Linked DNA regions of Drosophila melanogaster. The protein of the gene in region 1 interacts with the protein of each later gene in a pairwise test. Each region holds a gene or a part of one and is shown on either strand. Other genes may lie near its edges.

Region 1 (16,154 bases):
AACGAATGACTTAGGCAACGAACTTGCTTTTAATCTGTTGTAAGAGATCTTTTCTAACTAGAACTTTTGTTAATAGGCATAGCATTATAAAGAGTTATTTATGTGTCGGGTTTTATAGATATCTGACAAGTCATATAATTTAATTATTTTTTCCGTCTCGAATGTATTGTATTAAGACATGCGTGAACTGGTTTAATTCTAATTTGTAGTCATTCTCAGAACAAAATTGACTAGATCTTACCCAATTAATATAAAATTAATTAAGGTGCTGCATCATTCTGAATTTAAAGCAAGAATTGCTATATATTAATTAATTGCTATAAATATTATGTGGTGTTGAAAACCTAAATATAATTTAAGAATTTAGTTTGCGATCTACATATGTTAGGCATATAGGCAAACAGGTTTAATATCTGCGCCTATTGACAGTCAATAGATTCAAGCATTCTAAATTGCATTTACTGGCACTCGTAAACCGACTTAAGCTGCCATAAGCAAACCCAAAACACGGGGATCGCGCATTCGAAATTTGCATAAAATGTGCATTAGTCGCCCGCCTCCGCCGATCCAGCGACCTCGCCACCATCATCATTATCACCATGGTACCATAGTGCCATGGAGGCATGGAGGCATGGAACTGTGGAGCCACCACACTGCAACTGCCAACCGAGATCTCATACTATGCCATCCCAGGCATTGGATCGGCCACACCAAGGCGCAACTTGTGCCGAAATCTGCACGACGAAACGTGAGAAAATGTTATAACCAATGCAGTTGCTATGCCGTGTACATAGAGGCAAAATGGGAAAATAAATAATAAAAAATAAAAAAATATTTGCTAAATTATGGGAATGAATGGGACGAGCGGTGGCGTCGGCGGGCGGTAAAGAATTCGGATCTCCAACTTGCAGATGCTGCGGTCTCTGTGACTAATTGCATGCCCATACAAATGCACTTTTCGTAATGCCGGAATATGTGTGAATTATTATGCAGTCGAATCTTCATTGTAATCATGTTAATGAGCTTTCCGCCGTTCAGTCTTCATTGTTCGTGATTATTCTGGCCAGAGATTCTGAGCCAAATGCCAAATGGCCAATGCTATGGCTAGCTTACTGACCAGGATGTTGAGCTTGCGCTTTGCCAAGACAACTTTTATTTTATGTTAATTCAATTAGACGGCGGCTTTTGTCACCATGCAGCCGCAGCAGCAACATTACATTTTTCCAAAAACTCTGCCCATCGATGGGTCTTCTTCGTTTTGCCAGCAAATATTTTTGCACAAAAACGTTTTTGAGGAGCGCCACTTGTTGATCGTTTGTTTGCCAAAAACACGACAACAACGCCAAGGCACAAAAGCAACATCAGCCCGCAACAGCAGCAACTTTTAGCGACACAACAGCAAGTACACTCGAGAAAAAACTTTGAGCTCATGCAACTACATTACGTTCCATTTGAACCAAACTACAACTGATAAAGATATTTTACGATACATGTAATTTATATATTTTTTAAAAGTAGTAACTTCAAACTTTAGAAAAAGCAGCCCTTCAAGCAGATAGCAGATTCTTTCAGTGTACGAAAGAGCTAGACGCTCGTTGTTGATTTATGCGTTTTGCAGCATTTAAATTGGCATTTATGTCAAACTGCGGTAAGGGTAAGTAATATTTTGTACGAGTATAATACATTTCGCTTTATTTGTTTTATAAGCCAGCGTCCTTGGGGTTTGTCGGCATCGACACTTTTCCAGCTTGGAAACTCTTTCCCATGGCTGCCACTCGCATCAGATTGTGATGATGATGATGATGATAGTTTTGATGCTGTAGCCGGGTATAACTTTTTATATATTAGCTTAACGTTCGCTTCCACTTTATTGAGCCGAAACAAATTGGTTAATTGTTCCACAATCACTTGCATGTTTGGCAATGCCTGACTGGTCTGCTGTAAATTATTCATTATTCCTCTCCAGTGGAGTATTGAACTTTGATCGCATAGCATTTCTGGTCAGAATCAGTTGCAACCATAACTTGCCACTCACAAAACGCCGCAGATCCTCAATACCAGATCTTGAGTCAGCGTATGCAGACAGAATGCCAGTGGCCTTGGGGCAAGCTGAGAATGTTGCTGATGCAGCAGCGGCAGCAGCAGCAGCAGCAGCAGCATCAGTGCAGCAGCAACATCTGTGCAGCATCCACTTCCACTTTGACGATGTCTGAATCTTTCGAAAGCTGCCAAATCCGTTCGGCTTTCAATGGCTGTTATAGTTTCAGTGCGAGTCTCCATTTGTCTTTTTTTTTGCCATTTTATGTGAAAAATCACATCACCGCTCATCAGCCAAACGAGAATTGCCCAATAAACCAGCAATGAAAATGTGTTGGCGTAATTAATTAAACAAATTATGTACATTGCGCAGACGCATTGACGTTTTTGGTGCAGGCGATTTTTATTAATTTCACTTAGCGGTGGGAATGCACCAGAGCTATAAAAAGTGCATCAGCGACAACGAGCAGTGCACTTTTGGTCAAACAGTGATTACAATTGCGGCCGTAAACGTTTGGCAATGTGGCTTTTACGTTCGCCAGCCATATAGGCAACTTATGGGCACACAGGCACACCTGGTGTGCCTCCAAATCTTGCCACCACTGCTCCTCCGAACCCAGTACTTTGTGCCATTTTCGGGCCAAGAAATTCTTCAACTGCAACTGCAACTGCAGCTGCCTGCTTGCCTCCCTTGTCATTCATTGTTTGTGGAAAACGCGGCTCAATCAATTATTAATTATACGCCTTGTTGTACCCGAGTGCCAGAGTGCCGGAGTCCATCCATTGTCTGCAACATCTTTATATCGGACAAATCTCCTCTGCCCATTTTCCACTTTAAGCTGCCTGGGTGTTTGGCAACACTTAACAACCGCATCAAAATTAGTTTCGTTATTGTGTTAGCCTTCGGCTGGCCAACTCCAAATCTTCAACTCAACTCGAAAATCGAGTCCGTTTCAATTGATTTCTTACGTGCGTGCGGTTTGCCGTGACTAAGTGCGTGTGGGAAAAGACGATACACGATCGCCGGAGCAATTCGGTGGCCCGGAAATGCAGATGGCCCTTGCGGCCAGCAATTACCAATAGGCTGCAAATAGGCGTCATCCCGAATCAGCGAAGACTCCGATTTGGGTAGATCCACCATATGCCGCCGACGCCATGGCACAAAAACCATGACACAAAGCCACTTGGCTGGCTGGCTGGCTGGTTGGCGGCATTTGGCGATCGCTAAAAGTCACATTGTTGACCTTTTTGCGGTCTTGGGGCCGCGTGGAGAAAAGGTTTCTGTCTCTTCTGAAGTCCCTGTCGCTCTGCGCGGCTCATTAAAATAATATTTAACCTTTGGGAAGACAAATACTTGTCGAATATGTTGGTATGCCGAGAGATCTCTTTTGTCGAGAGCCAACGAGCCGTGAGCAATTAAAAATTAACTGTTTACTTTTAATGCGCAAAGTTTGACGCCGACCCCGGCCCCGCCCCCTTTTTTTTAGGGTCTTCCGCCCTCAGCCCCTCCATCTGCTTTTTGGGGGCCCATTGCCAATTGAATTCCATGTTTAACGAGTTTTGACAGCCGCATTTTTGTAGCTTTTTCGTTTGCCTTCATCTGCGCATTTGCAATGGCATGCAATTGCGATGGCTTTGTCTAGTTTAAAAAGATATACCTCACATTCAAGAATACCCACAAATTCCAAATATTTGTGAGAAACTGTTAAAAAAAATTCCAACTCTACATACTTTCAAATTAACAATAAATTTAAGGAGGTAAACAGAAAAACCATTAAATTCTACCTATTGATCACTAACTAATGAAAATGATGAGCTAATAGAATAAGCATTCCTTTAAGCAAGTAATTATAATCGGTAAGTGATATTTTGAAATCAGTCGGAAACAAGACTTATTGGCAATATATGACTCACCCACCGACTGCGTGTCTGGCTGGCCTCCTGCCACGTCTGACATTCATCCGGCAGCGATCTCGCCGCTGAACCTGACCTATACGCGCCGTTCACACGCTGAGCGGACCGTGCTGGTCCGCCAGCAGCCAAGGCATCAAAATACAGCACTCCCAACGTTGAAAACTTTGGGAAAGATTAGTGGCACGTGGACTTGTTTTCAAAGCATTCAACTCTCTATGACAGATCAAAATTTTTGAGTTTTAAATCCATTTCCACCAGGTTTCTTTAAGATCTCATAGACCAAAATGTTGGCACGAATAATTTCTACCTACTTGTTATGCGCGGCAGTCTACAGTTTGAATATGCTGGAATACTATAGAACTGGCAAATCTAATCGACCGCGAGGCCCTGACGATGACATGTTCTACGTAAAACCGAAGTGAACCAATAAATCGCACCAGTAACAGCTTATAAAGAAAATATTGTTTTAATGAGGGATGATACTATTTGGTTATGGTTCGTTTACGACTGCTTCTCCTTCCGTCTGGCCTGCAGCACACCACGCAGCATGTTGAAGGAACTCAGTACAGGCACCATGATGGGCAAGAAGAGTGGAATGTAGATGGCGTACTTCTGCTCGTCCGGGAAGTACAACTGCGCCAGCAGGCTGGCGTCAAAGAATCCGCGCTCCGAGGCCACGAACGCACGCTTGGCCAGCACCGAAGCGTCCGCCAGTCGGTGCTCCAAAAGAGCAGCCTTGGCAGCCAAGATGTCGGCATAGGAATTTGTAATGGCGGCACCCACCTCGTCGTCTATCACAATGTAGCTGATTTGATCTAAACGAGAGGAGGAAGCGATTATTAAATAATATTGTCCAATTAAGGTGGTTATTAAACTTCTCAAGCAGTACAGATTCAATAAAAATAGCGTCAACCATTTTAAAAGCTACTTAATTATAAAGCGGAAATTGCAAATAGTTCATTTTTAATTGTCGAAGAGCCCTGAGTTTTGTATAATATCAGAAATAGGAATAATAAAAATGTTGACTAAACATCCTTCATTGGTATCTTTAAAAACGTACCCAACAGTTTGATGAGGCTCTGGAGCGTGCTGCTTGCTGTGGATATGTGTCGAATGGCACTGCGTCTTAGGTATGCTTCATACTCCCAGCGACGTGGCTCCAGTTGCTCGATATCCACCACCTTAACGCCCTCCATCTGAAGCTCACTGCTGATGTCGAGCAGCTTGTGCAGCTGGTCCAGCATCACCTGCATGTTGTCCGTGGTGCTGACATGGTAGGGAACTGCCTCCTGATCGCTCATGGCCGCAAGGCACACATGCTCTGGCGGATTAGCAATGATGAAGCCACCCCAGGGTGGCGAAATGAAGGCATCCACGTCGTTCCGCGTCAGCCGCTGATCCTTGCTGTTGTAGATGTGAAGCGGAGCGATGTGGCACGGTGGAATGTACACCACCAGGTTGATGGCCGGCTTGTCGGTGGTGCTGGCGCTTAGATTCTGGGCAATCGATGTCAGCAGATGAGGCAGAGCGGTTTCCTGGAGGGCGTAGTGTCGCCCCAATTTGCTCTGGTCGCGCACCTGCTTGAGATCAGCCTCGATGGCCACCCGGTACTTCCACTGCGATCGCACCGTGTAATTGGAAACACCGGACACCTTAGCCAACCAGGGCTCAATGTAAGCTATTGAAAATGTAAATTGGCATAAGTAAGTGAAGACTTTTTGTGGTTTTTCAATACTTACTCTTCACAGCCATTGCTATGTTCCACTTGGCATGGGTGAGTCTCGGTTTCGGATTCAGGACAGAGACAATCACATCGTAGGCTGGTTGCGGAGCTTCCGACTTGGCGCCCATCCGCTCATCGGTACTTAAAATTTGATTTATGCGATACGTCTGCAGGATCTTGGCGTGCAGGAGCTGGGCGATTTTGTTGGAAGCTAGGAGGTGTTAAAACAGCATTATTAGTTTAGCTAACTAATCTTTAATTTACTAGAGTAATTTTAGCTTAGTCCTTGAAATTTTAAGGAAAGGGTTTCATTGGGCATTAAAAGTATTCGAAAGCATTCGTAATCCTCGATAGTATAGTGGTTAGTATCCCCGCCTGTCACGCGGGAGACCGGGGTTCAATTCCCCGTCGGGGAGACCGATAAAATATATATTTCTTTTTAAAACCGCATTATCATGTAAATAATAAATTATGCGCTATACTTCTACTTTTAGAATTATTTCAATAATAGAAGGTGAAGTAACAGACAATAAAAGATTTGAAAAAAAAAAAAAAATGAAAATCTCATTTCTCCCAGACGGGGAATTGAACCCCGGTCTCCCGCGTGACAGGCGGGGATACTAACCACTATACTATCGAGGACCTTAAAAACTTCGGACATAAAAAGCCAACAAGTGTTTCCGTATCATTGCAATAGACTCACGTGTATCACTTCGCATCAGTGCCGATCTTTCGGTGGTTAGTAGCAGCTCCTCCTGCAGTTTGGGCCACTCGATGAACATGAAGTCGCCAACGCTCTGGACATGGTTCTCCAGCAACAGCTTCTCCAGAGCAGCTGGCGTGTGTGCTTCCTGGGTCATTGGCGTAGGAGATAGCTGCTTGAATTCCACAGACCATATTTCTAATGGGAAATGCATGCCGTTTAGAAATATGAATGGATAATGAATTTGCACCTACCATTGTCGCTGAAGGCGTTCTGCAGTTCGGCGATGAGCAACTGGCCACGACTGGTCTGTTGTGTGTAGATGGCCACCTGCACAGCCGTTTTGATCGGAATTTTACTCAGACTCAAAATTTCCGTCGAGGGCAAATTGACTCTGCGATTGCAACATTTAGGTATAATTGGAAAAACGCCGCCAGACATGGTTGACTCACCTGTAGACTGTGGTGGTGCGCCACCACATGGGCACGCCAATTCCAATGATGACCACGATAAATGCTAGTGTAGCCCCGATCCGGAACTTATCTGTAAAGTTAAAGAGAAGTGTTTGATTAGTTCCTGATTTATCGCGGTCGTAAGCGTTCTTTGGGTTCACACTTTATTACTTCGACAAAAAACTATAATATTTTGATTTGTGTTTTATAAAGTTTATTATGTAAATTAGTTTCTGTACAGGAGAACGGTATGAATGTTAATAGTCCTTGACGAGTAATTGTGCGCATGTTGTGAAACAGGATCACATGCTACTCCTTGTAGCTGCACGAAATAACAAAAACAGGTCCCTTTTCAAGGGGCGTGTTGCGCGACACGTATTTGGTGAACTTGGTGGTGCCCTCGCACCGGTATACTATGTTCAGGGCGTTGTCCACCGGCGTGATAGTAAGCAGAACGGAATCGTCCTCTTCCTCGTCATCGTAGTCCGATCGCCTTCCGTCCGTCGGTGCTTTTGCTGTTGGCATTTCGGCGTCGGGTGCGAGGTATGTGATCACCGCTGCTCCTTCTGCCGCGTTCAGGTAGTAAACCAGGTCCAAAGTGTTCTCCTCGCTGGTCAAACCGTCGCCCAGCACTGTGTAGTTGCCGTGGGACCAGCGCTGCAGTTCCACGCTGCATGTTGGACTTTCGGCATCGGTGCCTGCCAAATCCAGATCGGTGAAATCTCGCAGCAAATCAAACATGGCGTGGCTACGGAACAGTTGCAGTAGTTCCAGTATGGTGCCTCTGGCTGTTGTCAAATCCAGCACTTCATAGTTGTGTGCGTTTGCGGGTCCCTGTCTTCGCCACTTCAAGGTATCCGAATCGGCCAACAGCTGCGACCGGGCCAATTCGAATTTCTCTCGCTTGAAGAACTCGTATAAACAAATCTCGGAGTTTTCTTCGATCCGCTTTTGGATGCTCCGGCGGGTGGCCCCCTTTAGATACACGTTGTTTAGAAACAGGCCAAGCGGTGGCCTATTAAGGCCATCAGGTTGCAGGTAATTCAGGCGGGGAAAGGCGCGCAGGGAGTCGGCCACGAAGGCCTCATTGGTATCGCCGTGGAACCATCCGTTTATGGTAAGACGCGGGTAGTCGAATGTAGTAACCTCGCCTACTTGGTGGAAGGAGCGCGAGCCCACCTTGAAGAAGGCAAACTGGTTGTCTTTGGGGGCGATCTTTCGCTGCACTGGAAACTGTGGAAAGCACTGATCGTCGCTACCGAAGATCTCTAGGCATCCGCCCTGCTCATCCGTCCATTCCTCCGCTCCTTCCCAAGGCGATAGATAGTAAATGAAGGCCACTTGTCGGTCCTTAAGCAGATCGTCGTGCACGAGCAGATAGTCGCCGCAGGTGTACATGCTGCAGGAGGCGGACACATAGTCCAGCTTGAGGTTGGTAACCTTCTCCAGCCAGGGACGCACTTGTTTGCGCAGCACCTGCAGGAAGTTGGTCAACAGTCGGCAAGCGGGCATGTTGGAGAGGTCGGCGCTCTGGTAGAACTCATACAAATCCATCTGTTTGCGCGACCACTGCACCTTCTGGATGATCTCGGCGACCAGCGCCTGGCTTTGGCCCTTCTCCAGCATGCCGGGCAGAAGGCAGATTTGAAAGGGATCCGAGAAGACCTGAGCACCGGTTTGCGTCTCCTTGGTCCCTTGGCTCTTCTCCTCCGTCCAGGCTGTTTGGAGCCACTTGGTAAGTTCCGGTTGCTGATACGCCTCGTTCAGGAGCACTTCGTTCGTTTCAAGGATGTCGCCCAGGCGCAAAAGCTTCCTGTGCGGCTCGCCCACCTGATCTGCGGAATCCTCCTGCTCTGCACGACCATCTGCAAGGGCAACATAGTGAATGGGTTTGCATTAAGCGAGGCAAACAGGGGCATACCTTAAACTTTAATTTGGCTATTTTTTACGCACACCAGCACTCACACACGCGTTATCAAAGGCAAAGGCAAAATCAAAGGCACCGATGTGCCGGCACACCTCGCTTTATCGTTTTGGGGCAGATTTCTCACTGTTTCCACTTACCTTCGTCCTTGTCTTTTCTCCTGGGCTTTACTGGACTGGAGCTCGAGGTTTCCATGATGCTGTGAGTCAAATTTTCGGTTAAAAACGTGAATTTTTGCCAGGGAAAATAAAAAAATTGGCTTGTGCAGCTAGAGATGGTAGCTCGGAAATATCGGTTGTTCTGTGCAAGTGTTGGGTAGTTAGCTTATTCCACGCAGTATCAAATACCTAGCTAAAGTTTAGTAGCTAAAAACTTTTGGCATTATATTGTAAACAATAAAGGGCGTATATAAGTAATAATATATAATATAATAATATATTGAAGGCATTCAGCATTAGCATTCAACTCACTAATCACACTTTCATTTTATACTGATCATCACTGATTGTACGTGAGTGTCGTGTGTTTCGTCGTCGCCTCACGCCTCCATCCCTAGCCAATTAGTAACGAACAATTGCTCGATCGGCTCCACGTAAATAAAGTTTAGATCACAGCTTTGTTGATTGCTTATCGCGGTGGCAAATATAGTTATTCGTTTATGGCTGTAAACTTTCGAAACGGACGTGGACATAGCCGGTAAATTAAAACTTGAAGATAAAACCTAGCTGGTGACAAAGAAATTCCAATTGGAGCAGTCCAATGCCGTGGAATGACCTTGGAAGAGGCGGAGCCACCATTCAGCCCTCCATATTATAAACAAAAATACTATTGTGGAATGTTCACAGCTATTTTGTATAAAAAAAATATTTGGCTATCAGTCTGTGCGTGCTAGGGCCAAACAGCTGATTCCGCCTGGCTGCCACCTGATTTGTTGGGGGTGTGAGTGGGGCTGGGGCTGTGGTATTCTGTATGCTCGCGATGATCTCATTGTGTTGGAATCGGAGCAAAAGCTAAACTAAACAACTTGACATGTGTTCTTCTGCTCCTGTGTAGCTACCTAGTGTTGGAGGATACGGAGGAGCAATGGGCAAGGATCAGCATTTGCTGGAGGCTTCGCGAGCCGGCGACATCAAGACGGTGGACAAACTGCTGGAGCACTCGAGCAAACGACATGGCCCGCTGTCCAGGTGAGTCACCAGCAGCAACTGTTGTTATTCCAGGTAGTTTACTACAGGTTTTCCTTTACAGTTTTAGGCGAAGTCCCAGCATCAACTGCCAGGACATGAATGGCTACACTTCGCTGCATCACGCCTGTCTAAATGGGCATAGCAACATTGTACGGCTACTACTCTCCCACAACGCGCTGTTGGATGTGCCTGATATACGTGGCTCGACACCTTTATTTCTGGCTGCCTGGGCTGGGCACCAGGACATCGTCAAGATGCTGTTGATGCACTCGCCTACGGGAGCCAATCCGAATGCCCAGACTATCGAAAACGAGACGCCGCTGCACTCAGGCGCCCAACATGGCCACAATGCCGTGGTGGCCATTTTGCTGTCCTATGGCGCCGATCCTGCCATACGCAACAATAGCTTTCAAACGGCTCTGGATTTGGCAGCGCAATTCGGACGCCTTCAGGTGGTTCAGACCTTGCTCCGTGTTTATCCCGACCTCATATTGCCGTATAAGCGTTTGGAAGATGACAATGAAGAGCTGCTGGGCTGCATGCCCATAAAGCACATATTCACGCACACCTGCCTGCACCTGGCCAGCAGGAATGGGCACAAGAAGGTGGTGGAAACACTGCTGGCGGCCGGCGTCGATGTCAACATACTCACCAACGCTGGAAGCGCTCTCCACGAGGCGGCTCTCTGTGGCAAAAAGTCCGTTGTGGTCACTCTGCTTAAGGCCGGTATCTACGTACACGCCACCGATGGAAACGGACGCACAGCCCTGGACATACTCTCCGATTATCCGCCGCATGTGACCTACGACATTGTGGGCGCCATAAACGGTGCGTACGAGTAAGAAGTAGAAGAAATACAATAAAGGGGCTATGGGTAGTGGCTGGAAATGCTTATCTTTACTGATATCTAAAGTTAATACAGCTCTTCATAAAGCTTTGTAATTCAAAACATTTATTTACTCTATTTGTAATAAATGTTACACCCTATTTATTGAAGGCAACCAAATAAGATCGAAATTATTTTATTGCTAATATAAAGCTGTAAATATATTCTTGAAGTTATGTGAGTAAGCGCAGACAGTAAATAATTGATAACGATTTCAACAGGCTTTATTATTTGAATCTTTAATAGTGCCTCCAAACCACTAACGCCCACGATCTTTTGCAGAGTTCACCCAAGCGGCGAGGGAACATCAGAAGCCACTTGTCGTAGAGAACGGCACACAATCGCTGCCGAAGCGGCTGTACGAGAAGAACTCGCAACGACAGAAGGTGCCGCCCAGGCAGAGGAAGTAAGCCCAGCAACTCCATGCACAGTGACACTGAAACACACACCCACATCACTGCTGACCCTAATTAACTTAGCCCGCAGCTCATGTCATTCGGAAAACGCACTCATCCCCGCTCGCACTCGCACCCACTCTCATGTCCACGCCCACTAGCCCTAGCACTCATCAGAATCAGAATCAGCTTCAGAATCGGTTGTGCGTCTCTTCAATTAACTGGTCTGGTTTCGTTTGGTTTCTTTTCAATAACCACATACTCACCCCTCACCATGTAGAAAGCAAGATCATCAAGCCAACGGACTTTCGCACTCTTTAAGCTCACTGGACATTTTTGCCAAGCCGCCGGAGAATTACCTGCAAATGAAACCCATCATTCACCAGAAGTCCTGCGACAACATGAGCGACTTTCGGACGAATGGCAGCAATCTGTTGACCAGCTATAAGCCGGTGTACAAGCAACCCATGCTGCCCAGCTTTCGGATGGACAGCGACATCTCCAATGGATCCGTACCCTCCAGATCGTATGAGTACATAAATCTACTAAGGAACGGGTCCCACAGCGATGATAACTCCGCCAGCACCAGTAGCAACTGTACGTAATGTACCTTTAACTATTTCACTCGAAAGTCACTAGACCTGAATATCCAATGAGTCAGGCAAATAAACATCTGGTTTTGTGTCCATTTACAGCTGCGGTGCGTCAACAAGCGGTGGCTACGTACGTGGAGATGAAGCTGCCAACGCCGCCAGTTCCTAAACCACGCACTCGAATAAACGGCGAATACAACGACTATGCGAATGTGGTGCCAATAGAAGAAGGCAGCTGCGTGGCAGCTGTTGATAATAACAATAATAGCAATGGTAATGGCACGAAATTGCGATTGGTTCGCCATTCGCCCACGCCGGATTATCCACCACCCACAGTGACCGAAGCGGAACGCACGATCTTCAACTTCATGCAGCCGGCTACTTTGCGCAAAAACAGTTTGCTGGAACCGGCGGAATCCCCTCGAACCACTAACTCAGTGAGCTCTGACCAGGTGGAGGAATACGTTGCCGACATACCCTTTGCTGGACTATTCAAAGGATCCACTTTGAACTTGTCCTCGGATGTGGTGGATGGCATTGGTGCTGTGCCGGGAGATAGGGAGTTTCTGCAATCACCCAGCATGGTGAGGTCGGCCCACGTCCAAAACCACAGACGCAGCCTGTCAAAGCAGCGATACTCAGCGCTGGGCGAAGACTTCAGCGCGTCCCGAGTGTGGGCTGAAATCGATACCATTTTTGAGAACATTGGCAACGAAGTGTCCACAGTAGAGCAGGAAGTCGAGGAGTTTGTAGAAGATCCTTCAAGCTTGTCCTTAGAAGATTCTCGGCAGTCCCTACACATACGAGATCCCGCGGAATTGCTATTGGGCAGAAAACCGAGCGCAGCCTCCTCCAATTGGTGCCACTCGCCATACACATTTATCTATGGCGAAATTCGATACTCTCTGTTTGTGAGTATGATTTGCCATAAGTATTTAAATTAAATACTTCAAACCTATAAATGTTTTGCAGTATCTTGGCTCAACGGTCATTCGAAAACTGCAAGGAACCCTTTCCACTCGAAAATCTATCCAGAAACTGAAGATTGATGAGAACTTAAAGTCGGCGGCGAGCGTTAGTGATTTCAGCTTGCTGGAAAACTGCACAACCTCCACAAAGTATTTGAAGGCAGCCAACCATCAGACACGACTCAATGTGGACATTGCTGTATCCTGCGTTGGCGTCAAGTTCATAGACCACGATAAAAAGGTGAGCATATTTCAATTCCTTGATATATATTGTATGTATATTTGTCAACTTGCTTTTAGACTGCCATCTGTTGCCATGACATTGAGAACATAAATTGTGTTTGCCAGGACTCGGAGGACTTGCGCTACTTTGCGTACATAACCAAAGAACAGGACCTGCACTACTGTCACGTCTTTATGGTGGATAGCTTGGTTCGTACTTATGGACTGGTGAATCTCAACATGCTAACGAATTATTAATTCTCAGGAACTGGCCAAGGAAATCATCATGACGCTGGGACAGGCCTTCGAAGTTGCCTACCAGCTAGCTCTGAGCAGACAGGGCACGTCCCTCAACGAAGAGTGCTAATTCTAAGCCATGGAAGTGCCACAATTGCCACCGAGCGTGGTTTTTTATTATTTATTTCATTGCATTTCACACGTAAAGTTATTTTTTTTACTCATTTGCTAGTCGTTGATGCCATCTCGATGCTGGCTTTGCTCCACATAAGGCAGCTCACATGTTAAGTATTTTGAGAGTTTTTTAATAAATTTACAACATTGCTTTTAAAAGCAAAATTTTGAATTTAGGGGTAAAGCGGGATATTTTATCGAATTTTTCGTTTATCGATACCAGTTAGTGGGAAATAAATAGCAGCGCCTGGTAACACTACGAGATCAGCTTCAAAAAAAACGTACAGATTGAATATCATTGGCATTTTATTTTTAAACATAAACTAAAGATCCAGCTAAAAATGGAACTTAATATTGGTAAATAGTTAGTGAACGTCATATGCTTGCTAGTACCTACATTGTTTTCACCTCATTACTGAAGATAATCGCCCAAACGATGTCGGCGTCTTGGCGCCGAACGATCAGGAAAATGAGGACGCCAATCGGAGGATGGAAAATACAGACGCTGTTAAGACTCCAGTGGCCAGGAAAACGCGACGAGCGGTCCTCAAGCGGATGAATGCCACTTCGGAAAAGAATTCGCCCACGCATCCCGATCCTCCGAAGACACCGGGCACTCCAGGCCATCTTAGCCAAAACACCGAAACTCCGAGACGTAGTTGCCGGAAAAGTGTGCGTCCAGCGATCGATTACGATGACATTATAGTGCGATCCGCCAAGAAGGCTATCGTCGAAGCACTTTCAGCCGATCCCGAGGGCGAGGAGCCTTCCGTCCAGAAGTGGACCACCGCGGAGGTGGGAAAAAATTCGCGCAAACGGGGTCGCAAGTCCAAGCGCATGGTCGCCAAGAAGCAGAAAACAGAGCACATAGTTGCAGAGGATGATGAGGAGCAGGACACGGAGTTGGAGGTCCCACAGAAAAAGGTGGATCCTTCTCAGGATGCTGAAGGAAATGCAGAGGTTCAAGCAGACATAGTAGAGGAAGTGGCACTATCCACGAAGAAGTCTTCTAAAAAGTCTAAAACTAAAGATCCAGATCACGCAAATGATATTACGGACATTGTAGTGAATCTGGAGCAACCAATATCGATAAAGAAGTCTTCTAGGGCGTCTAAAAATCCAGACACCAAGGAGCAAAATGTAGCTGATGAACTAGGTTTATGCCCACTGGATATGGACAGCCAGGAAGAAGATGAGAAGGATATTCAAGGTGGAGAAGCAAAAACAAACGCAGAGGTATTTGAAGATGAAGCCCAAACGAGTGCAGCCGATACGGATGGTCAGAAACATGAAGAGAAAGATGAGCAAGCAGATGAAGCAACTAAACCAGCTGCGCTTGATAAAGACAAAGAAGTAACAGCTGAAGATAAACTAAAAGAAGCTAGTGCAGTAGATGAGCAAGCAGAGGAAGAAATGCCCTCACTACTGATGGAAAGTGATGGCCTGGATGAACCAAATCAGTCGCCTCTCAATACCACATACGATGCAGAAGACAAGAAAGATTTTGATGGAAGTGTTATTCTGGTTGTTAGTCCCGACAAGCAGCCAAAGGCTAGCTCCTCCGACCTCGATGCAAGTGTTATTCTGGTCGGCATTACCGATATGCAGCCTGTTGTTTGCGCTCCGAAGCCGGAAATTCCGGAGGAGAAGCCGGTTATTAAAGTTGTGCTCACCACATCAGATGATCAGGACCAAACCCTTTTAGATTTACCCGCTGAAGCTTCGCCAAATGTATCAAAGTCGAAGAAATCGAAGGGCTATCGATTCCCTACGCCCTATAAGGCAAGGCCTATGTTTAACTTTACAGGAACAGAGGAGGCAGTTCATCATGATCACGAAGTTAAAGAAGATGAACCGCATTACACACGCAAACGTTCCAAGTCAGCCAGCAATTGGAAAGATATCATGTCACGAACTGTATCCTTTCAGAGTCCTATTGAGGTTGCCAATGTCGAAGACATTGATAAGCGCTGGGCAGGACTTCAAAAGACCAGTAAGTTCTGTTTAATGGTTATTTTTAGCCCCTTCTAAACGTACAATTCCAGATGTCAATAACCGGCGTAGGCGCTCAAAGTCATTGGACGAAAAACGCTGCAAGATGAGCAGGATCCCCAAGCCCAATAGAGGTATGTATAGAAAACTAAAGCAGTTCTGTTCGTGCTAATATACGTTTTTTTTTCTTCTTAGGTGTTATACCGCTAAACAAAACCATCACACCCAGCAAGGTGAATAAGCGCACCAAGATGCCCAATTTTGCTGCCATGCATGAGAGACAGTTTGCCAAGATGGAGAGTCTGGTGGACCACGTCGAACGGAAGGCGGAACGCGCCAAGGTGCTAACCAATTCTGTACAGAAGCAAGTGCCAGGATCGGCGGCGAAGAAAATGCAGAGCACCACGTCTGTGGAGGATCGTGCTCGTCCAAGGGCAATGAAGAAGATCGACATGTCCGCCGATCGGACCGTGGTAATGGATCATCCGTCCGATAAGCTGAACTCATCACGTTTGCCTTTGAAGGCCACCGCTCCCGCTTCTAATGTAGCTCCAAAGCCAGCTTTCAATTTGTCCACCTCCACGGTGAAGACATTCAACGCCACGTTTTCCAGCAGACCGGCCGATTCGCACGACAACAAGCTGGCTGAGCGACGCCAGCGGCGCATTGACATGTTCAAGGGTAGAACAACCAAGGACCAGAAGGAGAAAGGAGAGTTTATCCGCGGAGTGCGCCTCAACCGACGTT
Region 2 (17,145 bases), about 13 Mb from region 1:
ATCCTCCCGCACAACCAGGGCACCAGGCACATCTCCCTGGGTCTCGTCGTACACCCCGATCACGCACACCCGCTTCACCTCCGGCAGCTCGTCGATGACCGCCTCCACCTCGGCAGGCCACATCTGCAGACCCTTCCACTTGAGCACCTCCTTTTTGCGGTCCGTCATGTAGAGGTAGTCGTCCTCGTCGAAGTAGCCCATGTCGCCCGTGTGGAACCAGCCCTCCTCGTCCTGCATCGCCTTGGTGGCCTCCGGATCGGCAAAGTATCCGTTCCAGCTAAATCCATTGTGCACAATGATCTCGCCGGTCTGGTTCACACCCAGTTGGTTGCCATCGTCGTCCACGATCTTCACCTGAATTCCGGGCAATGGGTTGCCCGCAGCGGTGAGTTTCAAGTGTCCGTGGTTGAACACTATGAATCCAACCTCAGTCATGCCGTAGGACGAGTTCAGCACTCCATTAGGAGCAAGCTTCTTGACCCTCTCAACCGTGGCCTGAGTCATCCGTCCGCCTCCGAAATTCAGCTTCGTCAGGCTGCCCAACTTCTCCGGAGTGGCTGTGGGGCAATCCAGCAAGGAACAGCAGTGCTCCGGCGGAATCAGTGCATATGTGATGCTGTACTTGCTCACTAAGTACACAAAGTAGTCCGCGGCGAAGGGCTTACTGCTGATGATCCTGGTGCAACCGTTAACCGTGCTGAAGATGGTGGCCCACAGCCCAGTAATCCAGTCCAAACTGGCCGAAATGAAGATGGTATCGTAACCATTTACAAAGCTGTAAAATGAGTTCGAAAAATTATGTAATTTTAAAATTCATTTGATTATATCTACAATAAATTGAGGTTCAAATATACTTTAACTTACACTGTCTCTTGGGTCAGAATATCGTTCGAGATGCACACAGCCTTGGGCATTCCAGTAGTTCCGGATGAGGTGAGGATCGCAACGGTTTGCGAAGGTCCTTCCTTCAGCGGTGTGGGCCTAACATAGATGGTTTACAATTTAGATAACACCTGGTCCCTTTGGAGCTTTGCAATATGGCACACTCACTGATAGAAGAACTCTGTCTTTGTTGGAGCCAACAGATCCTGAATGCTAAGGACACCATCCTTAGTTCCGGTGGTTAGGATAATCTCTGGCTTGAACGCGCTGGTAGCCGAGTACAGTTTGTCGTAGTGATCGGCATCGGTGAAGATAATCTTCGGCTTGGAAATGTTGTACAGGTGCTTAAGAGTAGCTGAAAATGTAGAAGAACATATAAAATATTTTATTAAAGGATGTACCTTGATAACATTATTTTTTTTATATTATGACAAAAAGACAATAACGTTGTAGGGGATTTTACGTACATTCCTCGAGAATTGGATTGGCCGACTGGAAGGGAGTGCCATGGAAGAAACAGGCCACGGCTGTGGGCATAATGTAGGTGGTGTTCCTGGCAGAGATACCAATGATATCCTTGTGGTCGAGACCGCGACTCTTCAGTTGCTGGGCAATGCGAATAGCCCAAGTGAGAGCCTGTCCGAAGGTGACCTCCACGCCCTCGGAGTCGGAAATCTGATGATACATAGGGATGACACAGAACATCAGGAAAGTGATCAGAGCAGGTCGGACTCCACTTCACTCACCTGACACACATTCTTGGGCCAGTTCCTCATGTTCTTGAAGATGATGCGACCCAGGGAGGTCTCCGGCTTGAAGGGGTTGTTTTGCGGAATACCCTTCCAGATCTTGTTCTCCGCATCGTAGCTGCAAGGTAACTTGGACATTTTTACTGCAATAAAGGTTGAATGCACACCCGAAAGATCGACCACTATCTGTGGAGCTATTCGCTCGGAGGGGCTACTTATAAAGACACGAATCCCCAAGAGCTTATCTGCAGATGATAAGCATGGCCTAGGTTAAGTGCAAGGTAGGTATCAATGAAAGATAAAAGGCATTGACCAAAGTTGACCACCCGACTGGCATGTATGCATATATTTATTGAAACTAATCAGATGGCGTGCGTTGGGTTCTTTAATTGAAGGGTGTCCTTAGTCGTGATAAGAGCTATTAACTTTTGGCCACTTGCCGGTCAATGAGAACAGCCCCATCCCTAATTGCCAGAGGGTTTTATCTTCGTTCCGGGTTGTGTTTTCCCCCTTATCGGCGATACTTACGTAATGATACGACAGAAAACAAATCATTGTCATTAGATGCTATTTATTTTTAAACACAAGCCCTTCAGTCTCTGCTTTATGTAGATATAAATATTAATGGAAATCAATGCTAAAAATCCCCGTAGTTTTTTTTTTTTTTTGGGGCAACTGAAATTTGGTTAATAACCTTTGGACTTTAATCTGGGAATACCTTACGACTTTTAAATGCGTGATACCGGAGACTGAATGGAAAGTTTGATTTTTTTCCCACATTTTAATTAGTCACCAATGGATTATCGATATGGACACGAGCTCTTAATATGTTTACCTTCGGATTACTTCGAGATATATTTAGCCGGCCTTTTGATATGAATACAACATGATACCCTATTCAACGAAGCCACGATAATTCGGGAAATTCCGCCAAATGAAATACAATCCATTCAGTGAAATTGAATGGGTTTTCTTTCAGCCAGCTCTCAATGGTTTTTCTTACATTTTTGTCCTTTATTTTGACGTTTTTCCGCGCTGCGGCTGACAAAAAGTTGGTGCAGCGAAAACGTTATTTAAATACCTTGGCGAAAAAGTTCGCTTGCAAGATATTTGCAAACATCTGTTTCCTGATTTTCCAGCAATGGCAGCCGGCAGAGAAAATCAACTTTCCGTTCCCGGTGGCACGTGAACTAAAACCCAATTCTGTGGCAAGGCTGCCGATGATGAAGTTCGTTCGCAGATAAAGTTCCGGTTACAGGAGACTTATGGTTGCTCTAAGGGTTTTACCTTGGTAAATAAAATAATCCTGGGTACTCCTCATTTTACATTTTATTAAGCACTTAATTTTATTTAAATGATAAAAAATTTATAACTTCCCAACGCTTAGTAACAATTCCTTCGCATCGGATCATTAAAGCTGATTTTCAACAACTATATAGCTTTCCATTTCATTCGAGTATAAGTATGTTTACGATAGTGTTGTGCCTGGAACTAAGTCCACGACGCTCGCAGTGTGGGCTTAGTTGTAATGGCTTAATGGGATTTTGATAAGGTTCCTCTGGTGGTTTATGTACCCGACATCACAGACATTGCACTCTGGTTGGCTTTGATTTGTGGTAATCTTATCGGGCTATGAACTGAAGTGGGGAATTAATTTTTCCGAGCAGAAACTATCATCCCGGCCGCAAATTACGTGAAACGGAGGAAATCGAATTTGATAATCGGAACGGGCTTATCTTAGGGTATTCCGTATCCGTATACACCCTTCTGCCGGAAGAATTTCCTCTGGCTGTCCATGAATGGAACTACATACTTTTGTCGCTGCTGCTCTTGTTCGATTTCGGGATCCGCGTACTTTAAGGGCCAGCCAGTTGAAAGATGTTCGCGGTCCCAGTTAGTTGGGTATTCTTATAGCGGCTAACTGGCTAACAGACTAAGGTAGTTGTTTGGGTTTCCCGCCCAGTGGTTCGGCTTTTCTTTATTTTCTTTTCGTGAGTTGCTGGCTGTGCAACTTATTCGCATTCTGTTGCAGGAACTGCTTTTTGCTCCTGCAGCTCCACCTCTTGCAGTTCAGTGTGTTATTATGCACTGGTTTTTCCTGGTTTTTCACTCACTTTTCTTTCATTTCATGTTTATACCCGTTACTGGTATACGAGTAACGTAGAGAAAAAGGATATACTATATTCGTTGCAAAGTATGTAACAGGCAGAAGTATATATAAAGTACATATATTATTGATCAGGATCAGTAGTCCAGTAGATCTGACTATGTCCGTCACTCACTCTTACGCCCACAAACCGCCCAAAGCTGCCACGTCCACACTTTTAAACAATTTTTAAATTTTTTCTAATTTTATACACTAATATTCCCAGAAAAATTATGAAATTTCGCGATCGCATTTTCACTAGCTGAGTAACGGGTATCTGATAGTTGGGGAAGTCGACTATAGCATTCTCTCTTATTTTTATTTATACCACTTTTTTTAAATCTTTTTTGTGTCGCTTCTTTTGACCCGTTTCCTTTGGCCACTTTCCCTTCGGCTGCCGCACACAAGTTTTTCATTTGTAATTCAAGATGTCAGTCAGCTGGGAGAACCAAAACTTAATTAAAGTTCCGCACTTCTACAGAGCCAATTCCTTACTTATCCCGACTGTCTCTCTCGCTTTTCCGTATGTATTTAGCCATTCCCAGAAAGTCCGCCCATTTCGTTTAAATTCAAAGTGTCTGTCCAGCTCGCCAGGTAAGGTGGTTTATCTTTCAGGTGCAAGTTTCGCCTGCCGCACCTGCAGCAAATGTCCGGACCTGCGACTTTGTTAGCCTCGCCTGCGGATACGGGTCTCCCTCCCCCTTTTCCAGCTCCTTTGCTGCAAATGCGTTTTCCCGAGCATGTGTGAGCGTAATTTTATGAGCTTATTTCATACTTTTCACTTCTAATTTGGCTCCGCGCTAGTTGCCATGTGCAGATTTCGACTTGTTGAGTTCTCCTTGTCGTGGTGCTTTCATTTTCATTGCATGATATCGGTTTCACTTACGGCTCACCATATAGAACATCTAATTTAATTAGCTGACACCAACGGGTGTTCCGACTTATTCTCTTGCTCGCTCTCCATTTTCCAACATCTGTTGTGGGGGGAAAAGTGGGAGAGCCGAAGGAAAAGCTGCAGGAAAAGTAGAATGTCTCATTATGTATGCATTGAGTTTCCAGTGTCCGTTGGCAGCGACAGAAAAACTTTTTGATAACTGTAATTAGCATATGAAGAAAATCAGACTCGGATAGTTTTCTTTGGAACTCAGGCAGGTGGAAAGCTGTTAAATGTATTCCAGTCCAATTAGGAATCCGCCTGCTGAACTGGCGTAGTAATTAAAGCAGTAAAGTTAAATCAGCATGGTAAGTTTTTCGTTTTAAAGTTATCCAATGTAATTTGATAAACACAAATGCTATTTAATTTAATAAAATGATTTATCAATGATAAAAGTAACCAAATTTGTAATGTAATGCTTACATTTTGGTCTATTGAAAGATAATTATAAATATATGATTATTATATAATCAAAACCAGATATATGATATATGTATATACCGGCCATAGGAACAGTCGGATAAGTTATTCATATGCATAGTTTATTCGGTAAGCTTTATTAAATATGTTCAATATACTTATATTACAACTTTAAACAAGTCTATGCAAATAATAAAAATCAGATATTATACATAAGAAAGTGCGATGGAGATTAAATGGCATATCTGTGCTGATTAACTTTTTTTTAGGTTGCCCATAGTCTCCAATTAAATTACTTCCCTAGACCCATAATCAATTCTACCGTTCCTTGGTTTATCTCCCTCATTCAATCTTCCTGTTCTTCCCTTTCTGCATACATTAGCGCTTTCAATCGCCTTCTGGGCCATTTCTTTCCGATTGAAATCCGCCAAAATCTCTCTTGGCCTAGGCTATCACCACCATCAATTCGCGTTGCATCTATAAATAGCATCTTGTTGCACTGTCCGTATCCGTGGGATTCGCGAGTGAGCCGTGGGATTACCGACGTATTGCCTTCCATTGGCCGCAGACCAGAAATGCGAGAGGTGGCCAATGTCAATGCCATGGCCATGGGCGCATATGGCCAAATGCAAATGCGAAACCGAAACAGAAACAGAATCGAAATCGCAATCGGAAGCAAAGAGCCAAAAAGCGATGGAGGAGAAGCACTACAAAATAATCCAACGGTCGCCGCAAGAGAAACACTTCCCATTTCTTCCGGCCGCAAAGAGAGGTGCCCGGGCGGTGATTAAATCAGTTAAGAGCCATTGGCCATTGCAGCCAGGTCTCCTCTACCCGGAGCCAAATCCCCCTGGTCATCGCAATCAACCCATTCCCCTCTCCCATTGCCGCCCAAATTCATTGGCGCCTTTCCCTTCCGCCTTTGGCTGTTGCGCATTTTGTGTTTTGCTCTCAACGTTCATTTTGGCCTTCTTTTTCTGGCCAAATGATTTAATTTCATGTATTTCGCTGTGCGGCAATGGCGATGCTTATTAGTTGCAATTTGCCAGCTCTGGCATAAGTTTACTCTAGCCAAAGCCAACAGCAAGCACCGCAAACTAAACCAAATAAATAAAATAATTGCCTTCCCAAGAAGTTGATAGAATGGGCAAAAATAAGGGTGGTGGCGGCGGCGGTGGAGGAGGAGGTGGCGGTGGTGGAGGCGGGGGCAATGTAAGCAATATTTGTGTTATGCAACTTGCGTTCTAATTGTGAGTCTAACTACTTGTAATCCTCATCTTAGTGCCAGCTCATTCAGCTCATGGTCCCACCAAACTTCCAAGTAGCAATTTAACAATATTTAACTTTATCCCTACTTTCCAACAATTTTAAAATAATTCGTTGACCAACTTTCTAAACATAAATTTATAAAAGCATTGCCAAATTAAAAAAAAAAACTTTAGTGCACTAGAACTATTAACTTTGAGATTAAGCCTTGCATACAGTTTTTTAGGAAGGTGTTTCGTGCTACCTGTATTAATACGTTATTGTAGACCACAAATAATGGTTAGATTACATTTTATCATGCGGATAATAGCTGCTGCTGTATGTAATTAGAGAACTCCTGGTGCTTTGGAACAAGGGTCCCCCCATTGCAATCCTGGCACAACTAACCTTTTTCTCATTTACTGACTTCGCTGGGCAACCTTAAACAACCGTGGCTCGTTATTTGCTCGGTCCCAGCTCAAAGCGAAATCTTTCCGTGTTTCTTTGCCCACAGAAAAAGGGCGGCGGTGGTGGCGGAGGCGGCGGCGGAGGTGGCTCCGGAAATAAAAACAAAGGCGGCGATGGAGGCGGCGGTGACAAAGGTGGAGCCAAGAAAGGACAAGACCAAAAGGCAGCCGCAGGCGGTGGCAAGAAGGGAGGCAAGAAATAGCAACCGTGGCAACATCAAAGCGCATTAAAAATTACAAATTTAGAGTTAAGTTGAAATTAAAAGTGATATCAGGGTGTATATACGAGTATCTCTATAATGTATGTGACTTTCTTACAATTTACTGGGCGCTGCCCGCCTCTTCTACTACAAGTACGTTCGGATATATTTATGTAGGTTAAGCTTAACAATAGAAGAGCATCCCATCCGCATTCCGCTCGAATGCACTTCACAGGCCACTTGATTTGAATCCTCTAGCGAAACCACTCCTGGGACATCCCAAAGAAGGAAGCTGCGCTCGATTTGGATTTGCTGCTGTCTCCCTTGCGGGCTCCATTGCCACCCGACTTCCTCGTCGGCGTCGTTGTCGCCGTCTGAGATAGAGGGATAAAATGGGAGATGTTATTAATTAATTAGTACTATTAATTGGTAGTTTGTCTGATTAATCTGTTAATTTGCCGCTGGACTCTCAGATTTATAGCGAGCAGCGAACAGCAACAAATGGAAAGCAAACATAATTAGAGAACGATTTATACCGGCGGAGATCGCAGCTAATTACAAAACATGCGAGTAACGGCCAAGTAGCCACTGCCATAAATTAACATTTGCCCAGCGATTTGATTTCAATAATTGCAGCGATTCATTAATTACCATCTAAGGCACTCGTATACGCGCCCGTAATATATACATAATCATTCTGCCGATGTTCTGGCCATCCACTTGGAAATTTCGGGTTGGGTTTCAAGCGAAACTTTTGCCAACCACTTGCGGACGAAGTAGGGAGGAGTGGTTGGGAAATGGCGGCAGAAAGTTGCACCTAATTAAAATTTGTCTTGCGGCATTCTGGTTTATTTATTGCTGGATGGACCAAATTAGTTTAATTAAACTGCTGCTTCAGCTTGAAGAGGTTTTCAAATTTGGAAATGAAGCACTTAATAAGAGCAATGCGGCTATTTTGCTCACTCTTAATAAGTATTGGCTAAACAATCAATATCATGCAGCATGCAAACGAGGAATGATAACAAAGTATCAACAATCAAATAACATTCCTACCCAACCAGAGCAAATGTTGAAACTATTGACTTAGGAATGCAGTCGATAGAAATCCTAGGAAAGAAACATGGGAACGTAGCATTATAACTTGATAAAGTTGGTAAAAGATAAACTTTATATCTATTAGGGCTGTCGGTTTAATGCTTCAGCTAATCAATTTAGAATTTTAAATACACCACCAAATAGTAAAGCTTATACTCTTGAAGCCAACACCGACAGCCCTCTATATCATCACACTTTATACTCACTTTCTCAACTGGCTCTTGGATCGGAGATTTCCGCTCTGCGCTAGTAACTCTTCCGGCAGCTTGGGGCATCACAATGGGCAGCAGCGGGAACCACAGCGACGTGGATCCGGAAGAACTGAGACACAGCACATTGGGATCTGCTTCATGGGCCAAAGAACTGGCAGCAGCTGCACCCTGACTGGGAGCAGCTGCCGAGGGAGTAAGCACTCCCAGTTCACCCTGCAGACGGCTTGCAGCTCGGGACACATGAGCGGTTATATGCTCGGCAAACAGCTCGAAGTCAAAGGGATCTATGTAGTCGCGCAGTTGGTTCTGCTGGGCGTGGATTTGGTCGTAGAGAGTCCTCTCCTCACGTGAAATGGCGAACACGCGCTCCAGGAACTTAAGATCAAAGTATAGTTGCAGGGCAATATTCTGACTGGCTTTGGTGCATTCCGCGTGGGCCAATCCCTCGTAGTGGCAGAGCAGTTTCCCTATGAGCCGCTGAATGAATGCTTGCAATACCTTGGGTGGCAGAGTTTGGGGAACAACCGAATTCAATGCCTGAATTAGCTGATGAAGATACGTCTGCAGAGAGAGTCGCGGCTGACTGGGGATTCGAATGGTTGACTGAACACTCTGCTCCTGGTCCTCGTCGCGCTGTTCCAGTGTCAAGGTCTGCCAAAGCTACTCAAGAATATAATTATGTTACGTTACAAATAAATTTCTTCTTTCCATATAATTACCGCAAAGTCGCTGAGAACCACTTCATGATTAATGACCTTTGGCAGTTTCTCTTCGCAATTGTGGCCGGCCAACACATCGTCAACGATGACCAGCCAAAAGGATAGCATCTCCTTTTCGATCAGGCCACAAATGCGCTGCCAATGCTCAATTCCCAATCCCGCCGAGTTGTCAGTCCACTGCCGCCAACTGGACGGCTGGCAGAAGCACAACTTTAAATTGGGGCACAGCTCGACCAAGGCGAGACTATTCCTCAAAGCCAGGAGCAGAGCAGGGCGTTCCCTTAGCTCTAAACCTTTCAAATTGGATAAATACTCTGTCAGCTGTTCCTCGGCCGTTTCGCGCAGAAACTCGATAAGTGAAACCTTGTCCTCAGCCCTCGTCGTTTGTTCTTGTAACATCACATTCAGCTCCTGTACGATATCCGCCAGATGTGAGTCAAAACGTTTACACAGTTCTATTGTTGCGCCGTCATAGCCCTTCGTCCGATTTGCCAGTCGCTTTGGTTGATCGCTGAGTGCTGCCGCCAAGCTTAAAGGCAAATCATCGCTCTGCTCCCGCCAAATTTGTAGAGGCGGTTGCGACTGACCGGCTTCAATAAGCAATAGTACCTGTTCGTAGGTCAGCTTCATGGCGGAAGCCCAGCTGCTGCGAATTATCTCTCGTACTCTGGCGTTGATCAACGGCACGTACTTTCTGGCGTAGAAGTCTAACTGGCTACGCTTAAGATGCAATTGCTGTTCTAGGCGAACGAAATCCGGTCGACCATTAGTTCTGGCCGCGGACTTAATGTCCTGGATGGTCTGCATGTTGGTGACTAGTGCAAAGACTTGCTGCAAGTGAGCCGCTGCCAAGGCGTTCATTTTATCTAGCCATTGTTGAAGTGAAGAACCCAACTGCTCAGGTGTTAGCTGAGGTACATCAAATTGTGGCTTAAAACCAGCGATGATTTCGGGTAAAAGATGAACCAGCTGGCGCTCGCTACTCTCCATTCGGTTGATGCTGGGTGGACACGTAGAAGAGGCACACTCCTCCAAGCGGCTAAAAAGAAGGCTATAACCTGTACGAGAGAAAAGACCGATTGTTCCAATAATAATGTTGTGTGCCTATCTGCGAATGGAAACATACCCAAAAGACACTTGTCCAGAAGCTCCACGGTGCTGTTGAGCACGTTTAAGCTAGCCAAAATGCGATCCTTGACGCGACGTGGCTCCGATGGACCGCTTTGCAGGCAGTTCAGAAAGGCTGAGGAGCGCAGGTTCAAGAAGGATTTCAGCACAGTACTCAAATCGCTTTTGTCTAGCAAGAGAAGGCTCTGCAGGCAGTCCACAGTCATTTCTTGTAGGAGTTCCTCCCTCTCCAGTGCGGTCAGTATGGCTTGTTTGATGGTCACGTGAAAGGGACGCAGGATTTCCCATTGCTTGCGCGCTACCGGTAGTTTCTGCATCAGGGCACTCTGGCCGTCCAGTTGCAAGCCCGTGCTGATGTGGCGACTGAAGATGAACAACTCAGTAGCGGCATAGAAGCGATCGTTGTCCAAGTGCGTCCAGATTAGTTCCGGCAGGGCAGTAAGCAACTTAATCTGAGCCATGGTGCCGTAGTAGGTCTGCAGCTTTTTTCCGGCGTTCCTCTCCTTCAGTGCGGCATCTTTAGCACTTGCATTGGCAGTTGACTGGAAGCCCAGGAGCTGCTGCTCGTTTAGACTGCGGCAATTGGCCTGCACGTGTCGCACTTGCTCCATAAGTGTCCCGGCCGACGTTTGCATCGCAGCAATGGTGTCAGCCGCCTGCAAAAGATCTCGGTACCGCTCCCTTAAAGATTTAGAATGTTTAAGCAGCAAATCTTCTGAAGGTGCCACATCACTCACCCGACATGAGTGCGCAACTCCTCGCGCTTGTTCTCCACCACCGACTGGATCTTTTTGTGCACCTCGTCTATCTCGGACACGCTGTGCTGCTCAAACAGCGTGTCCACGTTCAGGTTTAACAAATTGGCCGTCATTTAGCCGTCAAATTAGTTTTATTTAAATTAAGAAAACAATAACAAGGGAGCAGCTGTAATAAAATCGAATTATGTATCGATGACTGGCAACATCGATATTTTCTCTCATGACTGTCTATGACTGTTAAATTTATGTTAGTTTACATTTCTCTGTTGGTAAAAATGTTAGATATGCTGTCATGTGCAAGCCGTTACATTTCAATATAACATAAAGAGTTATAGTTAGGGGAATTACCTCATTTAATCGAAAAAAGATATTTTTCTAAATCCAGGTTTCATTTGTTTAAATATACTTTATTAAATGCATTTGTCTGGCATAGATAAACTAATTTACATACACAACAAGTGTAAAAGCAAGAATTCTGATTGGTTTGGCAGCAGTAATAAAGAAAAACCAACAATGGCTTTCACTCCTTTCCCAATTCCCGCAGCACTGCGTTGGCGATCACAATTCTTTGGATCTCCGAGGTTCCCTCGTAAATCTCTGTGACGCGGGCGTTGCGGTAGTAAAGCTCCGCAGGCAGATCGGTGGTGTACCCCATCCCACCCAGGATCTGGATGCACTGGTGGGCACAAAAGGTGGCGGACTCGGAGGCATGCAGCTTGGCCATGGCCGCCTCCTTTGTGATTGGCAGCCCATTATCCTTCAGCCAAGCGGCACGCCACGTTAGCAGCCTTGAGATCTCCACCCGCGTGGCCATGTCGGCCAGCTTCTGCTGGATGAGCTGCAACCGTGCCAGATGCTTTCCGAAGGCCACCCTCTTCTGCGAATAATCCACGGCTAGTTCCAGGGCAGCTTGTGCGATACCGGTGGCCTGGGCGGCTATACCGATCCTGCCACAGTCCAAGGACTGCATGGCGATCTTGAAGCCATCACCGGCAGCTCCAAGGACCCGGGATCGCGGCACGTGAACGTCCTCCAGCACCAGCTGGCAAGTCGAAGTCGCGCGCATGCCCATTTTGCTTTCCTTCTTGGCTATGGAGAGTCCTGGAACATCCTTGGGCGTAAGAAAGGCAGTGATTCCCTTGTGTTTCATGCTCTTGTCCACCGTGGCAAAGACGATACCCCCGCTGGCCTCCTTGGAGTTTGATATCCACGCTTTAGTGCCGTTTATTTGGTAGCTGTCCCCTTGCAGCTTGGCCGTGGTGCTGGCAGCTCCTGCATCCGATCCGTTTCCAGGTTCCGATAGTGCATAGAAGGCGATGTGCTCACCCTGGGTGTACGGCACCAGGAAATCCTGCTTCTGCTGCTCGGTTCCATGCTGCTGCACTGCACCCAGGTACAGGTTATTCACGCCCATCACAATGGACACGGCGGCGTCACCACGAGCCACCTCCTCCATGCCAATCGCGTAGGCCTGGTAATCCAATCCGGAACCACCTGAAAAATCAATATTTAATGAATGGAATCTAGTAGTATGATCTATTTATATACCATTTCAAAAATGAAAACATCACATATTTTATGTTATGTAAATATTGTAAATATTATAATTGAAATAGGAACTCACCATACTCCTCTCGAACCGTCACTGACATGAGACCGAGTTCTCCCAACCGTCGGACCTGTTCCGCCGGATAAAGCTCCTCCCGGTCGTGGTGTCGCGCTTTGGGGGCCAGTTCCGCATTGGCGAACTCCCGGCAAGTCTTCTGGAGAATCTGGTGGGTCTCGGAGAGGGCGGCCAGGCATGCGATTCCCCGGTTTCCACCAGCGATTATCCTCGCACTCCATGCGCCGCTCGAGCGTTGACCTGCAAAGACGGAGGCGGCAAATCGATCATCCAGTCAGCCGGGAATCACCCAGTTCCTCACCCAACGTCCGCGCCACTCTGATCAGCTGCTGCATTCCGTCGCCAACTGATCCCAAGCCCGTGGTGCCGGTTGCGATCGAGGTAGTGAAAGCTTTTTCGCACTCGTCGACGAGCCGATCGAAATACAACCGAGGAAAACAGCTTTTATACGCAGCTTTTTGAGGCGAAGTTCATGGGAGGAGATTGAAAGGGGGTCCCGTTTATTAAAAACTACTAATCGATTTTGTAAAATGGTTCTTTTAAATTGATTTTAATTGAGTATAAGAATTACTAAAATCATTTTAGTTGTTTCAAATTTGTAATTTATAATCGGTTTTTAACAAATTTTAAAGTTTCATTTAAAAATGGTATTGATAAGCGCCGAAGTCACCACTGCGCCACTGTGTTCGTATAAAGTGTTTCAACTATATAGTACTACCTAAAATGATCGAAAGTATTTTGTTTTGGCGCTAACTTTGTGAAATTACCAAGTTTCTGGGTTAAAGATCATTTGAAAGAACAGAAAGGGAAAGCGGTTCAATGGATTTCGATAAAGAAGAATCCACCAAGAACCCTGTTGATTTCCTATACCGGCTGAATACGAAATTAGGCAATGCTAATTTCCGATACACACCCACTTTCATTGAAAGGTACAAGGTGCATTTTACCCACATGAAACACAAGTACACATTACAATTTTTCAACTTACATATTACAAAGTTAGTGGACTTTGGGAATTTTCAGGAACACGTGTGAGACAGTTTTTTGAAACATTTAAGCTCATGGATCAAATTGAGAATATATAACCCATTATTGTTTTTCACCATTTAAACATTTAAACCAGCTTTTTGCTAGCGCCATCTAGGTTAAGTAAACAGAACTGAGCACCTTACATCAGCAAGGTATTTCGCAGTCAGTCCGTGTAAAAATCATTGTAGAGCGCTGTAAATTATTATTTTCATTTGCTCTTAACGTAGTAGACCGGTTAAAAGGGATTTCAAAACTGAACCATTTCCGAATTATTATCTTCTTCTCAGCTAAACTGTTCAAAATTATAGAATTTTGCTTTATACTTTTGAAAAACGAAGATGAATTACTTGATCCAGCGTGGCAAGATGCGCCAGCAGGCGATTAATGTTCCAGAGGGTCTGCCGGAACTTCTATCAGATGTTACACGGGAGGTGCTAAGGTGTCAGCCGAAGAAAGAGTGCCTCTGCCAGTTCATCATCGACTATCTACATTCGGTGATCGTGACAAGGGAAAAGGCTATGGGTAAGTACTCCCACAGGATGTAGAAAGTATCAAACTTTTCTTTACGCACGCCTGTATTTTCTTACAGTGGCCAAGACCATTTTGGATCGCTCTCTGCGCCAGGTGGACAGCATAATATCGGACCTCTGTGTCTGTGATCTCTCCAAGGAGAAGTCCGAGTTGATGGGCCAGGTTCTAGAGGACTGTTTCCGTAACTTCCTCGAGAAACGACGCTGCGAGATGCGGCGTGGCAAGCAGGCGATTAAGTTCGAGGATGTGGACATCCTAGAGGAGCTGCTGCAGAAGTGCAAGTTTACCGACGAGGAGCTGGTCATGTCACGGCCGGCCATCGAGAGTGCCTACAAGCGCTTCGTGGACGCCTATATGTCCGCCGAACGTGGAGCCGATGGAACGGAGCTACTCTACCAGTACTTCCGGGACAGGGAACTGAAGCGTATCAACGAGGCCATGCGCAACCAGGCAGCCATCACGATCCAGGCGGCTTGGCGAGGATACTGGGTTCGCCTCCAGTTCCCGCAAGAAGTTTGCGTTTGTGTCTGCGCAGCGGTAAGTGAATCTACTTCTAAAAGTCTGCCCCTAAACTTGGTTATGACTTAAATCCAACAGGAAAAAGAGGACGACGGGGAGGAAAAGCGCAGGGAACAGGCAGCGAGCGTTCTTCAGAGATTCTTCCGCAAGGTTATGTTGGTATGTAACAAGAGTTAAAAACTATTTTACATTATATATATTTATATTTTAAACTGTTTTTCTTAATTTTTTACGCCAAATTTGCAGCGCGTGGTTACCAAGCCAATCGTAGACCCCTGTGCCGAACCAACGGAACCAACTGAAGTGGATGCTAGCTCTTCACCGGATACAGCAAAGGATGGCTATGACGACGTAAATCTCTCGACAGTACCGACAACTGCTGCGATAACAGCCGGACCAACACCATTACCAACTGCTCCCGGAACTGTGCCGCCATCTGCCCCAGGCACTGCTCCGGCCACGGCCAGAACTTCGGCCACTGCTATAGCAGAGCCAGAAGCTCATGAAGAGGCTGCGGAAGCTCAGCCAGCGGAGGAAGCTCCTGCAGCAGAGGCGCCTGCTGATGAAGCAGCACCAGCTCCGGCTGAGGAGGCTGCCCCACCGCCAGCAGAAGAGGCTGCACCGGAAGCCGCCGAAGAGCCGGCACCTCCACCACCACCAGAAGAAGCAGCGGCACCGCCACCGCCCGCTGAGGAGCCCGCTCCGACAGAGGGAGCAGCTCCTCCCGCTGAAGAAGCTCCCGCAGAAGAAGCTCCCGCAGCTGAGTAGATGAAACCATGCTGTGTTTATTAATTTTCCCTTAGTTGTTAAATTGATGTTATCTGCAAGTGAATAAACTGATCGAAAAGTGCTGGAATCCTCTTCTCCTTCAGGATTTTGTTTGATTTCCTATCCAGTCACTGAAGGTAGACACTCTGGTGTAGACATCCGGAGAGATGTATAGACCACACACCACCAGCCCGTAGGATACTATGCCCACTTGCTGTAATCCATTTTTGGATTCCATTACCAAAGGACCGCCAGAGTCGCCCTGGAAACAAGATCAATCTATGATCTAGCTAGTGTATTATCATCCAACTCACCGAACAGGCTCCCCTAAAAGGTCCTCTGGCGCAGATCTCCGTATCCGTAACGCTCTCCATGCCCGCATTCCTGCACTCACTGTTCGAGATGGTGTGGTAACTCATGCGCTGAAGAACATTGGGATAGTTCACATTATCCAAGAAGGGAAAGGGCACTGGTAAGCGGAGGCCCCATCCCGTCAAGGTTACTGGAACTCCTCCACCAACGAAGTCTTTCCCCTGCGATCGATACTCAATTGCACTAATGGTCGAGTTATTTAACTTCAGCGGAGGTTTGATGGACAGCACGGCAAGATCGCTGGTAACCAGTTCCTGATACTTGGGATGGATGCTGTAGGATAGCACCTGGGAGCGGGAACCCTTCTCGTTCAGTCCTCGAATTCCGGCCACAACAGACATGCGACTGGCGTTGAGACCCTGACAACAGTGAGCTGCAGTAAGGATGCGATTGGGAGCGATGATGGATCCACCGCAGAAGTGCATCTGACCACCGCGTGTTCTGTACTGCAGCGAAACCTGGTAGGGCACATGTTCGCCTGGTGGGATGTCAGCGCCTCCAACAATACGATGTGGAGTATACCCACTGGGTTGACGAGCTTTAACAATATACACGTCTGTTACCAGGGGATTCTGAGTTACTGATTCCAATTCAAACTCACAATTCAGTCTCCCGAAGACTCCTCCCAAAGCTACAACTCCGATCAGCAGTAGTTGTTCAGTTAGACCCATCGTTGTTTGGCTAATGCCACTGGCTTTGCACCTGCCACACTTCTTAAATAAGAGCTTAGCCCACATTGGCGAAAGAATTTGCATATGTATCGCAAAATATCTGGGTCACCTTGGCTACTTGGTTATGCCATTATATTTGATCTTGAAATTGAAATTATAATGAGAGCTTCTGCTGGTAACGCAGCCCAGATACCTGGTATGCAAATATCTAATTACGAATTTGCAAGACATATTTACGGACAACGATAATGCCACATTTGACTGACTTGGTAAAGTAGAGTTTATCAGAATATATTTGAATAACTCGCGATCGATATTCCAATATTTGTTTTGACAATTTGTACATTGTGATATTGCTTTAGACCATTCTTTCCTTAATCCAACCGTCAAACATGGACACTCTGGTATAGACATCAGGATTGTTCGAGGCACAGAATGCAGTTCCATAGGAGACGACGCCCACCTGTTTATAGGACTCACCACTCTTCATCACCAAAGGACCGCCAGAATCGCCCTTAAAAAGTATTTCAAAATTAGCTAACATTATTTCGATTTCCACTTGAATATACTACTCACATTACAGGCACCCTTGCCAAACCTTTCCAAGGCACAGATCTCTGTGTCCGTCAGCTGGGTCATCGTCTCCTTGCACTTGGAATTGCTCAGTGTCTTGTAG

Evidence for each region.
Region 2: the proteins of PIG-S (region 1) and Cog1 interact in a two-hybrid assay, tested with the Drosophila melanogaster proteins (one large-scale study listed by BioGRID).

Annotation. Positions count from the first base shown.
Region 1 is NT_033777.3:24,908,816-24,924,969, forward strand, and holds PIG-S (phosphatidylinositol glycan anchor biosynthesis class S), read right to left. Parts: upstream 9,050-16,154; 5' UTR 8,949-9,049; coding exon 8,894-8,948; intron 8,695-8,893; coding exon of another isoform or gene 7,139-8,694; exon of another isoform or gene 7,025-7,138; intron 6,921-7,024; coding exon 6,830-6,920; intron 6,772-6,829; coding exon 6,632-6,771; intron 6,576-6,631; coding exon 6,378-6,575; intron 6,317-6,377; exon of another isoform or gene 6,245-6,316; intron 6,091-6,244; exon of another isoform or gene 6,019-6,090; intron 5,886-6,018; coding exon 5,691-5,885; intron 5,630-5,690; coding exon 5,012-5,629; intron 4,871-5,011; exon of another isoform or gene 4,767-4,870; coding exon 4,453-4,766; 3' UTR 4,401-4,452; downstream 1-4,400. Other genes in the region: sud1 (sudestada1), read right to left, coding at 7,139-8,694, 8,894-8,948; CG11168 (uncharacterized protein), read left to right, coding at 9,837-9,940, 10,002-10,768, 11,109-11,232, 11,502-11,818, 11,917-12,725, 12,787-13,023, 13,083-13,214, 13,270-13,371; Mink (mitotic spindle and nuclear protein), read left to right, coding at 13,757-13,772, 13,837-15,408, 15,461-15,541, 15,603-16,154.
Region 2 is NT_033777.3:12,208,537-12,225,681, forward strand, and holds Cog1 (component of oligomeric golgi complex 1), read right to left. Parts: upstream 11,151-17,145; 5' UTR 11,069-11,150; coding exon 10,935-11,068; intron 10,879-10,934; coding exon 10,196-10,878; intron 10,128-10,195; coding exon 9,070-10,127; intron 9,011-9,069; coding exon 8,345-9,010; intron 8,151-8,344; coding exon of another isoform or gene 8,127-8,150; exon of another isoform or gene 8,097-8,126; intron 7,418-8,096; coding exon 7,298-7,417; 3' UTR 7,047-7,297; coding exon of another isoform or gene 6,891-7,046; 3' UTR 6,344-6,890; coding exon of another isoform or gene 6,275-6,343; 3' UTR 5,256-6,274; downstream 1-5,255. Other genes in the region: CG4830 (uncharacterized protein), read right to left, coding at 1-775, 865-981, 1,051-1,237, 1,350-1,557, 1,629-1,769; CG14742 (uncharacterized protein), read left to right, coding at 6,275-6,343, 6,891-7,046; CG4860 (uncharacterized protein), read right to left, coding at 11,476-12,449, 12,580-12,819, 12,881-12,914; Rsbp15 (radial spoke binding protein 15), read left to right, coding at 13,947-14,130, 14,198-14,676, 14,737-14,817, 14,905-15,426; CG17404 (uncharacterized protein), read right to left, coding at 15,527-15,688, 15,741-16,336, 16,400-16,469; CG12256 (uncharacterized protein), read right to left, coding at 16,828-16,983, 17,046-17,145. UniProt on the Drosophila melanogaster protein: Required for normal Golgi function.